Linked DNA regions of Caenorhabditis elegans. The protein of the gene in region 2 interacts with the protein of the main gene of each other region in a pairwise test. Each region holds a gene or a part of one and is shown on either strand. Other genes may lie near its edges. The genes, in order: cyk-1, tcer-1 and mab-10.

Region 1 (3,755 bases), on a different chromosome or scaffold from region 2:
AGGCCAACCTGAAATAGTGTAGAATTAGAATTAGACTGAAAACATACAAACTTACATGTGTATTAATTAGCGTTCGGACACATCTGACGATTTCTTGCAAGAAATCAATCAAATCAAGCTCATATTTCGAGCCAACTTCACTGCTTCTCAGTCGTTTCAAGACTAATGAGTAGAGACAGCAGATAAGATCAGCTCCAGTGCGACCAGACTCGTCATGAACTTCTACGGCGAACTGAAAATAAATATGTATTTTAATAGTAACAATATCTATCTTAAAAAACGAACCTTATTAAGAAATGAAACACCTTGACCAACTAGCTGAACCCGTACAGTAACAATATCCTGCTTGCATTCCGGAATGTTTTTCGTTTTCAATATTTCTCCCAATACTCGTACAACCCATTCCGGAGACCTTCCCTTCGCCTGATTATCTTGTTTTCTCGAATTCTCAATCATCATTTTCATTTGATCAAGTGGCGTATTAGAAATAATTTTATCAGCTTCGGGCAGACCTTTGTCGAGCTGCAAAATTAGTAGAAATATAATAAGAACTCTATAAAGAATATTACCATAATTTTCCTGAATTCTTCTCGTATTTCGTCTTCAGTTCCTGACAAGGCAAATGATTCTCCTGGAACTATTTTATATTGAAAATGGAGATCTTCGAAATAATTCAGTTTAATGCTCGTTTAAAAGTGAAATACGGTCAATGGGAAAACAATTTGAAAAACGCTTCCTATGACGCTAAAATTATTAAATATCATAATAACATGTTTTAAATCTACAGTCAAAAATAAGTGAAAGAAAAGTGGCAAAAACTCACAATCAGTTTTCACCGTTTTTTCACAAATCACATTGTGAAATAATAAAAAAATTTCAAAATATTTTTGAGAAGTTCTATGACATTTTGACATCTTAGCACCATAGGAACGGGTTTTAATTTCAATATTGACCGTACTCTACCTTTAACTAGCGACATAATTTTTATTTTCAAGATTAAGAAAAAAAATATTACCTGAAGAATTTGAAGCAATCGAGAAACCTCCAATACTTTGTGTGCCTGCATATGTACCGTAGTCATTGTTTGAATATGACGATGATGGAACATTCTGAAAATAAGAAAATATACTTGTGGGGAAAATATTAATTTGAGGATTTTGCAAACTCTAATTATTATTATTACTTTTCTCTAATAATAAGATGTTATTTCTGTATTTTTAGGTAGAAGAATTCCCAGATACGAACATTTAATTTCTGTCGTTGTTTTCGTTTAAATCTGCTCGATGAGAACAAATCAGTCCATCTTCCAGAACCATTCGCTCCACTTAAATGAAATGGACTCCTACGACTAGCAAAATCAGCAGCTCCAGCCAACATTGAATGTCTTTCAGCGCTTCTCCTTTTGAATTTCTGATTAGGAACTTGATCTTCCAAGAAATGAGAAACAGTTGCATCTTGTGCACGAGTCGCTTTTTTCTTTTCGCGCAATTGCACACGAGGCTCGTCTATATCAGAATTTTCAGAATTCGGGTGAAGAAACTGCGCTTGTAGAGGGTCTAGAATTGTATTTTTTGGAGCAGAATTAGAAGCTGATGGTGTAGGAGTCACGTCTTCATCGTCATCCGTTGAATAACTTGAATGACGAGATTGGGTAGGAAGTCGATTCATATCAGCTAGTGAAGCTACACGTGGCGTGTCAATTGACTCATAATCATCGCTAGACATTTTTAAGCTGGAAATGTTTCAAACTGAACGAGATTTTGAACGGAACGAATTGAATTAATAAAGTGGAGCGGATTACCGAAACGGTCAAAATAACCTCAATACAGGTAATAAAATCTAATCGTAAATGAAGGTAAAACCGTGAATTGAATTGAAATTGTATTGACAAGTGCAGAGAAATCAAAAACCAGGGAGAAAAATAGTGAAGAAATGAATAACCGATTGGAAAATAATTTTCTTACGAAAAATAGAGACTTTGTTATTTTCCATATACAGAAAACCAACTAAAAATTGAAGGCAATCAGCGAACTCTAGAAAAGTGAGAAGAAGGGGAAAAAGAGAAGTGGAATGTCATCTGATTCTTGGGGAGAAAAATACAAAAATGAAATCTATTCAAATTGAATGGCAGGCAAATCGACAGGGCATGCGGGTCGTTGGATGAAAAAGTGAGAAATGGAGGAAATGTGTGAGAACCTAGTGATAAAAGAACAAAATAAATATAAAATAAACACAGTCACTTCGGTATTTGGAGAAAGCGAAAAAGGGAGAGGAAGAGAATTTGAGAAGTGCTCCGGAAAACAAGAAAATGAACTCGGGAATGGAGATTAGCTCATTCTTCATTAAGTTTTGAAATAATATGTTTTCAGCCAGCATATAATTTGCTTAAAATCTAGTATCTGAGAACAGCCTATTTAATTTAAACTCTCACGTTTTCGCGGAAATTCATAAACTGCAATCCTACATTTTAAGATATTTATTACACATCGTTGAGTTGATTGGGATTTTCGTCCTCATAAATAAAATATATTTAAAAGGAATCCAACTACTTGTTTTTTGGCGGCTAACATAAAGCTCGTTCATTCTTGAAGGAAATTTGACACTGTTTTACAGTATGCAAATCCCTTGCTCTCTTCTCTTTTTTGTCTGATTTTTCCCGCCAAATGGGTCATTGGGCACATGTGAAGGAGATAAGAGGACTCATGGAGAAAGTAGAGAAGGAGAGACGGTCAAAATGGAGACTCATGTCAAGTGGACAGGCTGGTGGTGCTTTTTGAGCATATGATTATCATAGACATATCACTGTTGACAGAAATATGAATGATAGCGTGTTCGCCGGCCGGATGCTCTACAATGTGTATTTTCTATTCACACATGCATGAAGTCACTGCCGATCGTTCAAAATACTGAAGTGCAAATATAAATTTTAAAGAAAATTACTACATGTGCAATGATCGCTTAATTTCACGAATGATAGAACACCTTAAAATGTCTAAAAATGTTTTCTGGATACGTTCTCAAAAAATATGTGATAATTCTACAGTAATCCGATGTTAAAGACTAAGATTTCTTCAAAAAAATTCGGTGCCTCATGCTGGAATCGAACCAGCGACCTTCTGTTTACTAGACAGACGCTCTGCCACTGAGCCAATGAGGCGGACAGAAAACCGGATAGTAAAGCCGTTGAGAAGAGAGAGAGAGAGAGATACGAGACAAAGATATCAAGGCAATTGGGTGGGTTTTTTAACACTGAAAATAAGACAATTGTTTGAAAACTGAAAATTTTGTTAGATAAACTTTCAGAAAGTAACATTTAACTTCAAGAGGAAAGATTTCTATGATCATTGGTAACTGATAAGCTAAAGAGCAAATAGCATAGTCACATAGACATTTAACAGAGAGAGAACACCTAGATATTTGGTAAACACCTAAAAGAAAAACTGTTTAAGTTGCGAGATGTGACATATGAGTTTAGAAACGCTAATTTAAAATTAGGCAATTGTGGGATACACCTAGAATAAGAATAATTTAAACAGATAGAAGTGACACCCTTTCAGTTAAGTCCAAATGGTATACAACCAAACTTTAAAACGAAACGAATTGCGCCAGACAAAACGAAATTCTTCCAATTGACTGACCGATGGAAACTTCTCTCTCTTCAACACAAAACATCTGTCCTCTCGTTCCAAATCGCTAGTGTTAACGGGCGTCAACTGGCCAGATTTGTTTTTTTTAAGGTTTCTGGATACATTTTT
Region 2 (3,755 bases):
TAATGTGAAACAATTTTTTAAATGAAAACCAACAACAATAACAATAGAGAAATCATAACAACGAAAAAACAAATCGAGTAATTTATAGAATGGTCTTGTTCAAATTGCTGTATCCTACACCAACAGCGGTAACCATAGCTTTATCGGCACTTCCTGTTTTGAGATCAGCTTCCTCTTCCTTCAATGTTTTTTTAAAGTCTTCCATTTTAAACTCGATCTCAAAAAACTGTTTGAGATGCCTGAGTGCGTGTACACTATACATTGGAAGAGGACCGTAGAGGAAGTGTGAAACATCTTTAGGACAGAGTGTCATAAATGTGCTTGCAAGTATTTGAGCACTACTGTCAAGGGCACCTCCCATGTAAATTTGTTGAAGAAGAGCATGACCGGCTTCAATTCCAATGTCTTCTGGAAGAATTGGAACTCCTGATTCGCCCTTCGGTCTTGAAATAGCTTCTGCTTGGTAGATAACACCCTCTGTCGTTTCGGCGGTTAAGAACAGACCATATCCTGGAGAAGCGCCACCAGCATCACCTTTCCGTTGATCAACAGTAATATAAACATCCGAAATGTACCCATGCATTGCTTTCTTTGCAGCGTCAATCATTCGATAAGCTAGTGAAGGTGTAACTTTAGTAACATATGCTTGACCTCGAATTTTACAAACTTTTCCGACTTGTTGTCTCTTAAATTAACATTTTGTTTGGGAAGAAACGAATAAAGTAAACTCACTTTTACTGGCCGAAGAGTTTTAACAATTGGAGCGGTAAACACGACAACACCGCCTCCTTCTGGTTTCAATCCTCGAGCTTGAATTTTGATATCAAGTTTCTCATCATTGAGCACAAATTTGTTGTAAACTTTCAACCAAGAAGCTTTCATACCATCGACTGAGATTTCACCAGGTGCGTTTGTAACTCCTTTCAATTTGATTACCATTGGAACTTTGCAGAAGGGAGAAAGCAATAGAAGAGGCTCCAAAAAGTAAGAAATGCATCTTTCGGTACCACAATCCAAATTAACAACACCGCCAGTAATCATTCCCGGTCGGAAAATGACTTGAGTACCTGTTCGACTGATTTCAACTTTAGTACCGTTCGTCACTTTCTCAAGTAGACCGATCAGTTTTGATTCGAAATCTGTAATAATATTTTATGTGATACAAGTTGATAATGAGTAGACCGACCTCTGATTCCTGGTCTATCATCATTTTTTCTGATGTTTATTATTCTGATGGGTCTTCCGCTGAGAATTGAGTACGCTAGTCTGATTCGGAAGAAATTGCATCCACTGAATTCTAGAGTTTCACTGGACATTACCTGAAAAATGTGTCCATCAGTCAAGACGAAAATTGAAGAAAAACAAGCGATTGAAAAATAACAGCATATAAATATTAAATTTATTTGAATTAAAATTCTCCAATTTGAGGATTGAGCTCAAATAGAAACTAAAAATGCTAGAGAGCAGTTTTCATTGGGAGCATATATTATCTGCAAATCAGCAAAAAATAAAGAAAACGTTTACTCGTTTTGTGTCTTAATAAATCAGTTAATTAAAAAGACTTTTTTTAAATCCTTTTAATTTTTTGTATTCATCTGCAACTGCAAAAAAAATTCCGCGAAAAAAAATAATGCAAACGCGCTCCATTGTGAGAATTCAGAGCGCGACGCGGTGTGCGACGCGGTCCTTTGCAACATATTTCGGAGCTTTTTACAACTATTTTATTTGTTTTCAGTTTACAAAGTATTATTAGGGTAAATGGGAATGACTAAATATATAAGCCAAGCAATTAACACTCTGTTATATACATAGCTGATCTTTATAGAGCTCAACTAGATATAGTTTTGAAACTTTTCGTAATTCCATTATGCTAGACTACTGTTTTTGGATTTTACTTTATGAACTGCTCTTTTTTACAGATGAGCCACGAAAATCAGGAGAACTACGATGATTATAACGGAGACCACGACAATAAATATGACCAGCAGTACGACGAATCAAGCCGAGGCGATGATTTTGGGTATGTTTTTTTTTGGTATTCTTAATTTTACGAAAACCGTAAAAATATTATTTTTCAGTGGATATGGTCGAGGAGGGTCGTCAAGGTATTATAAAATTAAATTTACATGCTCAATCTAAATAAATTATCAGTACATTTTTTCAGCGGCAGAGGTAGAGGATTTAATGGACCGCCAGGCGGTGCTGGAAGTTTTTTCGGTGTTCCCCCAGCTGCACGTGGTCGAGGTGGACCAGGGATGGCTCCTCCAGGATTCGCAGGTAGAGGTCGTGGATTTGCTACACCAGGTATGAGCAGTGGTTTTGCTCCGCGCGGTCGCGGTATGCCGCCAGGTCGTGGTGGATACATGCCTCCATACAGAGGAGGTTATGGTGTTGCACCAAATGGAGGTCCAGGAGCGTACGGAGGGCCTTATAACGGAGGTCCTGGAGCATATGGTGCTCAAGCACCAGGGCCGAATCCACAAGATCAGGAGCAACGTCTGAAGAGAGTGAGTAAATGTTCAATTGTTGAAATAGTCTAGAAACGTATACCGTATTTCTTCTATTAATATGGCTGCAATACTATTTTTCGATGGTCTTCCCGCTTGCAATACCAATAGGGAGTGCAAGACTATTAGGGAGTGCAATACTAATTTTCAGGGCCTTTTTCTGACTTTGAGCTTACTACTTTTGTTCTGAAAAAACTCGAATCTTATGTAAAAATTCAGAAAATTTGATTGAAATTGCAACAAAAAAGTTCAAAAACTTCAATCTTATAAAAATTTTCACGAAAATTGTTGAAAACGACGCAGAAAATGTTGTTAAAATCTCAAATTTAGTGAGGCGGGTTTGCACCGAAAAAAAGTAGACGCAAGACTATTAGGGAGTGCAACACTAAAAGTGAGTGCAATACTAATTTTCGGAGGGTGTTCATGGTGCAATACCAATAGGGAGTGCAAGTCTAATAGGGAGGCCATACTAATAGAAGAAATACGGTATTTCAGCTTTCGGGATGTGAAGAAGGACAAGAGTTATGGGTTGAAACTGAGACAGCTGAAGGAAAAAAGTATTTTTATCATCCAGTTAACAGGAACACAATTTGGGAGCGACCACAAAACGCTAAAATAGTCACTCAACCAGAATTGGCTCAACTCATTCATAGAGCCACGGAAGAGGAAAAGAATCGTGAAGGTATGCAATTGCATTCAACTTTTAGCATTTGATGTTTTTGATTCCATCTTTTTGCACATTTATAATTAATTTTCAGAAGGTTAAGTTTAAACCTGGCACAGAAATTTCAGATTCTTAGGTTCATCTCTCCATAAGATTATGTCGCTCTTCTAGTCGTTCCTCTTCATTGCTGTCAAAGCTGAAACGCGTTTGTTAGAAAAGTTTGATAATAAGTTTGGAAAAAAGAAACATAAAAATCAGTGGTAATAATCAAAAAGTCCGTATTGTATCACAGCCACAGGAAAAAATTGCGGAACAACTACCGATTTACGAGCTGCGAGAAGGACATTCTATGCCGTGCGAGCATCATGCCATCCACTAATGTGTAATGTCCACTTTTCTAAGTTTTCCATCAAGTCATAATAGAAAATCATCATTATCTCTTGACTATGAGATTCGGGATCCACGTAGGGGCGGTCTCTGAATATAAATTAGATTTTATTTTTCATATTTATGCCTAACATATGATTTTTTTTCAGAGCGAATGCCACATGGTCAAATCCCACAAAATCCTGATGATGCCTGGA
Region 3 (3,755 bases), 3.5 Mb from region 2:
ACTAGAGCACTTTCAAGTGTATATGGGTAATGAAGCACCCCACTAACTGTAAGGCAACGTTGAGGGTTCTCCGTACAATTGAATAGTAGAATTTGATACGTCAGAAGAAGGTAGGTACATAACATGGAAGTTATGCTGTCTGAAAACTAACATTTTGTCTGAAAATGTTTTGATTTTATTTTAAAAAACGTGTTGATACATACCTCAATTCCACCAAATCCTCTTGCATTCTGCCATGCAAACATATCAACATCCCACAAGTTTATGAACTTCTAAATACGAGTTTCCAGAACCAATCTCACGATGAGCCCTCAAAGTTTCTGAAGATAAAACTGTGAAGAAACTCTTAGTTACCAACTTTCCAGAATTTTCAAAATATTTTTTTGTAAAAACTATAACAATCAAATTGTTTACTACTCCAAATACAATAGATTCTGTATATTTTGCAGTGAGATGAAATTAGAAAAATCCTAAAGCATCAGTTCCATTTCGTTTTTTGATCAAACAACACATTATCAAAATCATCAGTCGGAATTTTTTCAGATGGATTAATCCAGAAGTTTCAAGAACCACGCCATCTGCTTACAATTTTGTTCTACGAATCAGTAAAAACCATTTTTCAAAATTTTCATTTTTATGAAAGAAGGTGTTTTCCAGGATTCAATCTTGGCATTACTGTAACGAATTATACTTTTGTTTGAAAACATGTTCAAATTATACTAATGATTTTTAGAATACAAGTATTTCAGCAACCTTTTCGCCGAAAAAACGCTTTTAACAAAATATATTTGGCAACTTTTGATAAAATCCTCTTTTGAAGTTACGAACATTATTGAATTCCACCACACATTTGTTTTGGTGAATTCTGAAAAAAAAATCGAATAAGATGAGTTTCAAAATAATTTTGCGGCCTTACTGTACTCAACAGTACTCATATCAATAACATATACAACATCACATATACAGTCTACAGTACTCATGTAGTACTTCTCCAGTGATTCAGCGGTTTAAAAAAAGTCTCACTATCCCAAACACCAACTTGAATCCCCCTTCTTCAACTGCTCTTCATGCCTTCCACTGCTTCTGATCATATCAATTGCTCTTCCAGAGACCTTTGGGCTCCTTGGGTCGGCACCGGACTGGTACCGCTGCCAGTAACACACAAAAAATGGACGCGGCCGAGGGCAGCAGAAAAAGTGCAGAAAGAGCAAGTAAAGCGAAGAGAGTGTAGACGCACTTTTTGTGCAGCAACACTGCCGTCGCCCCCAGGCAGTGCCAGCCATTTTTTCCCTCATGCGTCCCCCCGTGGTCTGTGGGGGTCACTTGCGCCCCCCCGGGCAATTCTGCCCTGGGTGTCCGCGACCGGTACCACCGCCGCTGAGAAGACGCCGCGCCACTGCTGATATCACTGAATGAGAAATAGTATGGAGAAGATGAGAGATTGCAGAGAGAATATAGAGTGTGGCTGCACTATTCTGGCTCTGTCTGTTCCTCTGTTCCTCTCGATTTCTCAATGCCTTTGCTTTTTTTTCAACGCACGCGTGTTCCCCCCTCCAGTTGACCTATGTTCTCTTAATTTTTTTCCTTTTTTTCTAGCGTTGCATATTATCAGTTATCACCTCCACCTCTATCCAACCACTTTTTTATTATAGACCCCGGCCTCACTGTTCCACAGCCTCCTGACCCGGTCGTGCCCGGACCTTGTGCGGCGCCAGACGCGAATGATATTCGGAGACACGGGCTGAATGGTTTCGTCGGTAGAGAACCACGTCATCCCGTTTTCGTCGTCTGCGGAGTTAGAACTGTATCAGGTAAGGTTTTTAGTTTTTTCTTTTTTTAACTATCAAATTGACTGAAATGAGAAAAGAACGGAAGGCAGGCAGGTCTCAGGCATGCACCAGGATCTGAAAACGCGCCTGCCTTCCACCAAAGCCTTAGTTTTGATTTGTTTGACTAGGAGGTCTAGAGTTCAGAAACTAACTATAAGGCCTCCGTGTCAGGAGTGTGGCAAATTTGACAATGGACTTTTTTAGTATTTGCCGAGCACGGCAAATTTGGCAAAATCAGCTAATCCACATTTTTAAAATTTGTCGGCTCGGCAAATTCGGCAAACGACAAACTCGGCGAATTTGACGCACACCCCTGATGTAGTACTTGCCGAATCGACCGAGCTCGGACAGTTTCCAGAATTGCCGGAGATCACTAGTTTCGTCCGTTGGGAGATACTGTAACTTCTAGATTATTAGTTATGAATGTCACTCTTCACTTTATGTCTATTTTCTCCATTTCTCCCATTTTTTTCTCGAACCTCCCACCTATTCCCCGTTGTGTCCCATCCGCCTGTTCGTCGTCGACCTTCTCTCCCTTCATCGCTTCCCAATTTTTTTTCTGTTCACCTCATACTGCGCGCATCTCCTCCCATGTCTACACTATTTTCATCAATTCATGGACATGTGCAGACAATTTCATGGGGGCTTTTTTTGCTAGAAGAATGAGCGTGCGCGCGCCAGCCTCGAAAAGGACGTTTTCGGAGCGGTTTTTCAGTTGGAAAAAGCGATGGAACGAGGTGAAGAAGAGGTCAAACAGATGGTGGTACTGTTGGATGAGAACAGCTGAATTGGAAGAAGGAGGAGGAGCTTGAGTTTTGATTAGTATGCTCTTATAGCTTCTAGACATCTATTTGTCCAAACAGGAAGAAAACTATCCGCCTAAATATTTTATCATATCGGTAAGAAACACCAAAACTTGAAAGTATTTCTGTTAGTCAGAAGTTAATAGATATAGGAGATAAGCTACCAAAATCTCTCTGAAGTCTGACCCCGATTACTGTAAATTTTGAACTTTCGTATCCCCAGACATCCACTTGTCAACAAAGGTCACTTTTTTGTCCCGTTCCTCCCAAGCCCATCCTGTGTATACACACACACAGTCACCTCAATCGTTCGCATAGTAAACCGAACATTTCAAATAATAATCGAACGACGCCTCTTTGGTTTTTTCATCGGTTCTTTTTCTCTCTAAATCTCCCCCGATTCCCGTACTATTCCCTCCCTCCTATTTCTCCATTCTCACCTCCCGGTCCGTCCCGCGTCCGAACGACCGAAGAAGCCCAGTGGCGAGAGACGTTTTTTGTAGGATTGTCTCTGTGTCTCTATGTTTTAAACGCTTTTTCTCGCCCAATGGTTTGCCGGTTTTTCTATGTTTCTTGTGTCGTCGTTTGCGTCCGGGCGCGCCGCCGAGTTTTTTTGACCTATAGTTAGATGTATGGGTGCACTCTTAGTTTAAGACACTATTTCGTCAGGGATGTAGATAGGCGGACGCTGGGGTTTTTTGAACAGGGATCGGGGGCCATACCACTCTCTTTTCTGTGTCGATATGTTCCCATTTTCTTCTCTTCTTCACTCTATTCTAACCTTTTTTGCAAACCTTTTTTATGACTTCGATAGGGAACCTACAGTGTTGTAAAGCAGTTAATACAGTAGTTCAGCATTTTTCAATTAATTTTCATTCTGGGAAAAATATAAATCAGCTTACAATATTTAATTTCTAGTAGTTTACACGTACCTTCTAATAATTGTTTGATATTTTCTCTTTAAGCATACAATCAGTGTGTTTTCTGTAGTTGATTATAAAAATAATATATACCAACTTGGCTCGGAGGTTTTGGAGGCAGCGTCCTGTAAAACTTTGACAGTTTACAACTTCCTGTCGAACTTTTGCAACTTTCCAACGACATTTTGATGTTAAAAAAATTA

The links.
Region 1: the proteins of tcer-1 (region 2) and cyk-1 interact in a two-hybrid assay, tested with the Caenorhabditis elegans proteins (one large-scale study listed by BioGRID).
Region 3: the proteins of tcer-1 (region 2) and mab-10 interact in a two-hybrid assay, tested with the Caenorhabditis elegans proteins (one large-scale study listed by BioGRID).

What each region holds. Positions count from the first base shown.
Region 1 is NC_003281.10:7,027,472-7,031,226, forward strand, and holds the start of cyk-1 (WAPL domain-containing protein), read right to left. Parts: upstream 1,735-3,755; 5' UTR 1,726-1,734; coding exon 1,246-1,725; intron 1,110-1,245; coding exon 1,016-1,109; intron 632-1,015; coding exon 570-631; intron 523-569; coding exon 286-522; intron 233-285; coding exon 56-232; intron 9-55; coding exon 1-8.
Region 2 is NC_003280.10:7,048,236-7,051,990, reverse strand, and holds the start of tcer-1 (WW domain-containing protein), read left to right. Parts: upstream 1-1,919; coding exon 1,920-2,020; intron 2,021-2,078; coding exon 2,079-2,105; intron 2,106-2,164; coding exon 2,165-2,507; intron 2,508-3,002; coding exon 3,003-3,189; coding exon of another isoform or gene 3,190-3,221; exon of another isoform or gene 3,222-3,553; intron 3,554-3,707; coding exon 3,708-3,755. Other genes in the region: ZK1127.5 (putative RNA 3'-terminal phosphate cyclase-like protein), read right to left, coding at 83-685, 733-1,139, 1,187-1,316.
Region 3 is NC_003280.10:10,526,437-10,530,191, forward strand, and holds the start of mab-10 (NAB transcription cofactor mab-10), read left to right. Parts: upstream 1-1,647; 5' UTR 1,648-1,811; intron 1,812-2,936; exon of another isoform or gene 2,937-3,362; intron 3,363-3,755. UniProt on the Caenorhabditis elegans protein: Transcriptional cofactor. Heterochronic protein, involved in timing of a subset of differentiation events during the larval-to-adult transition.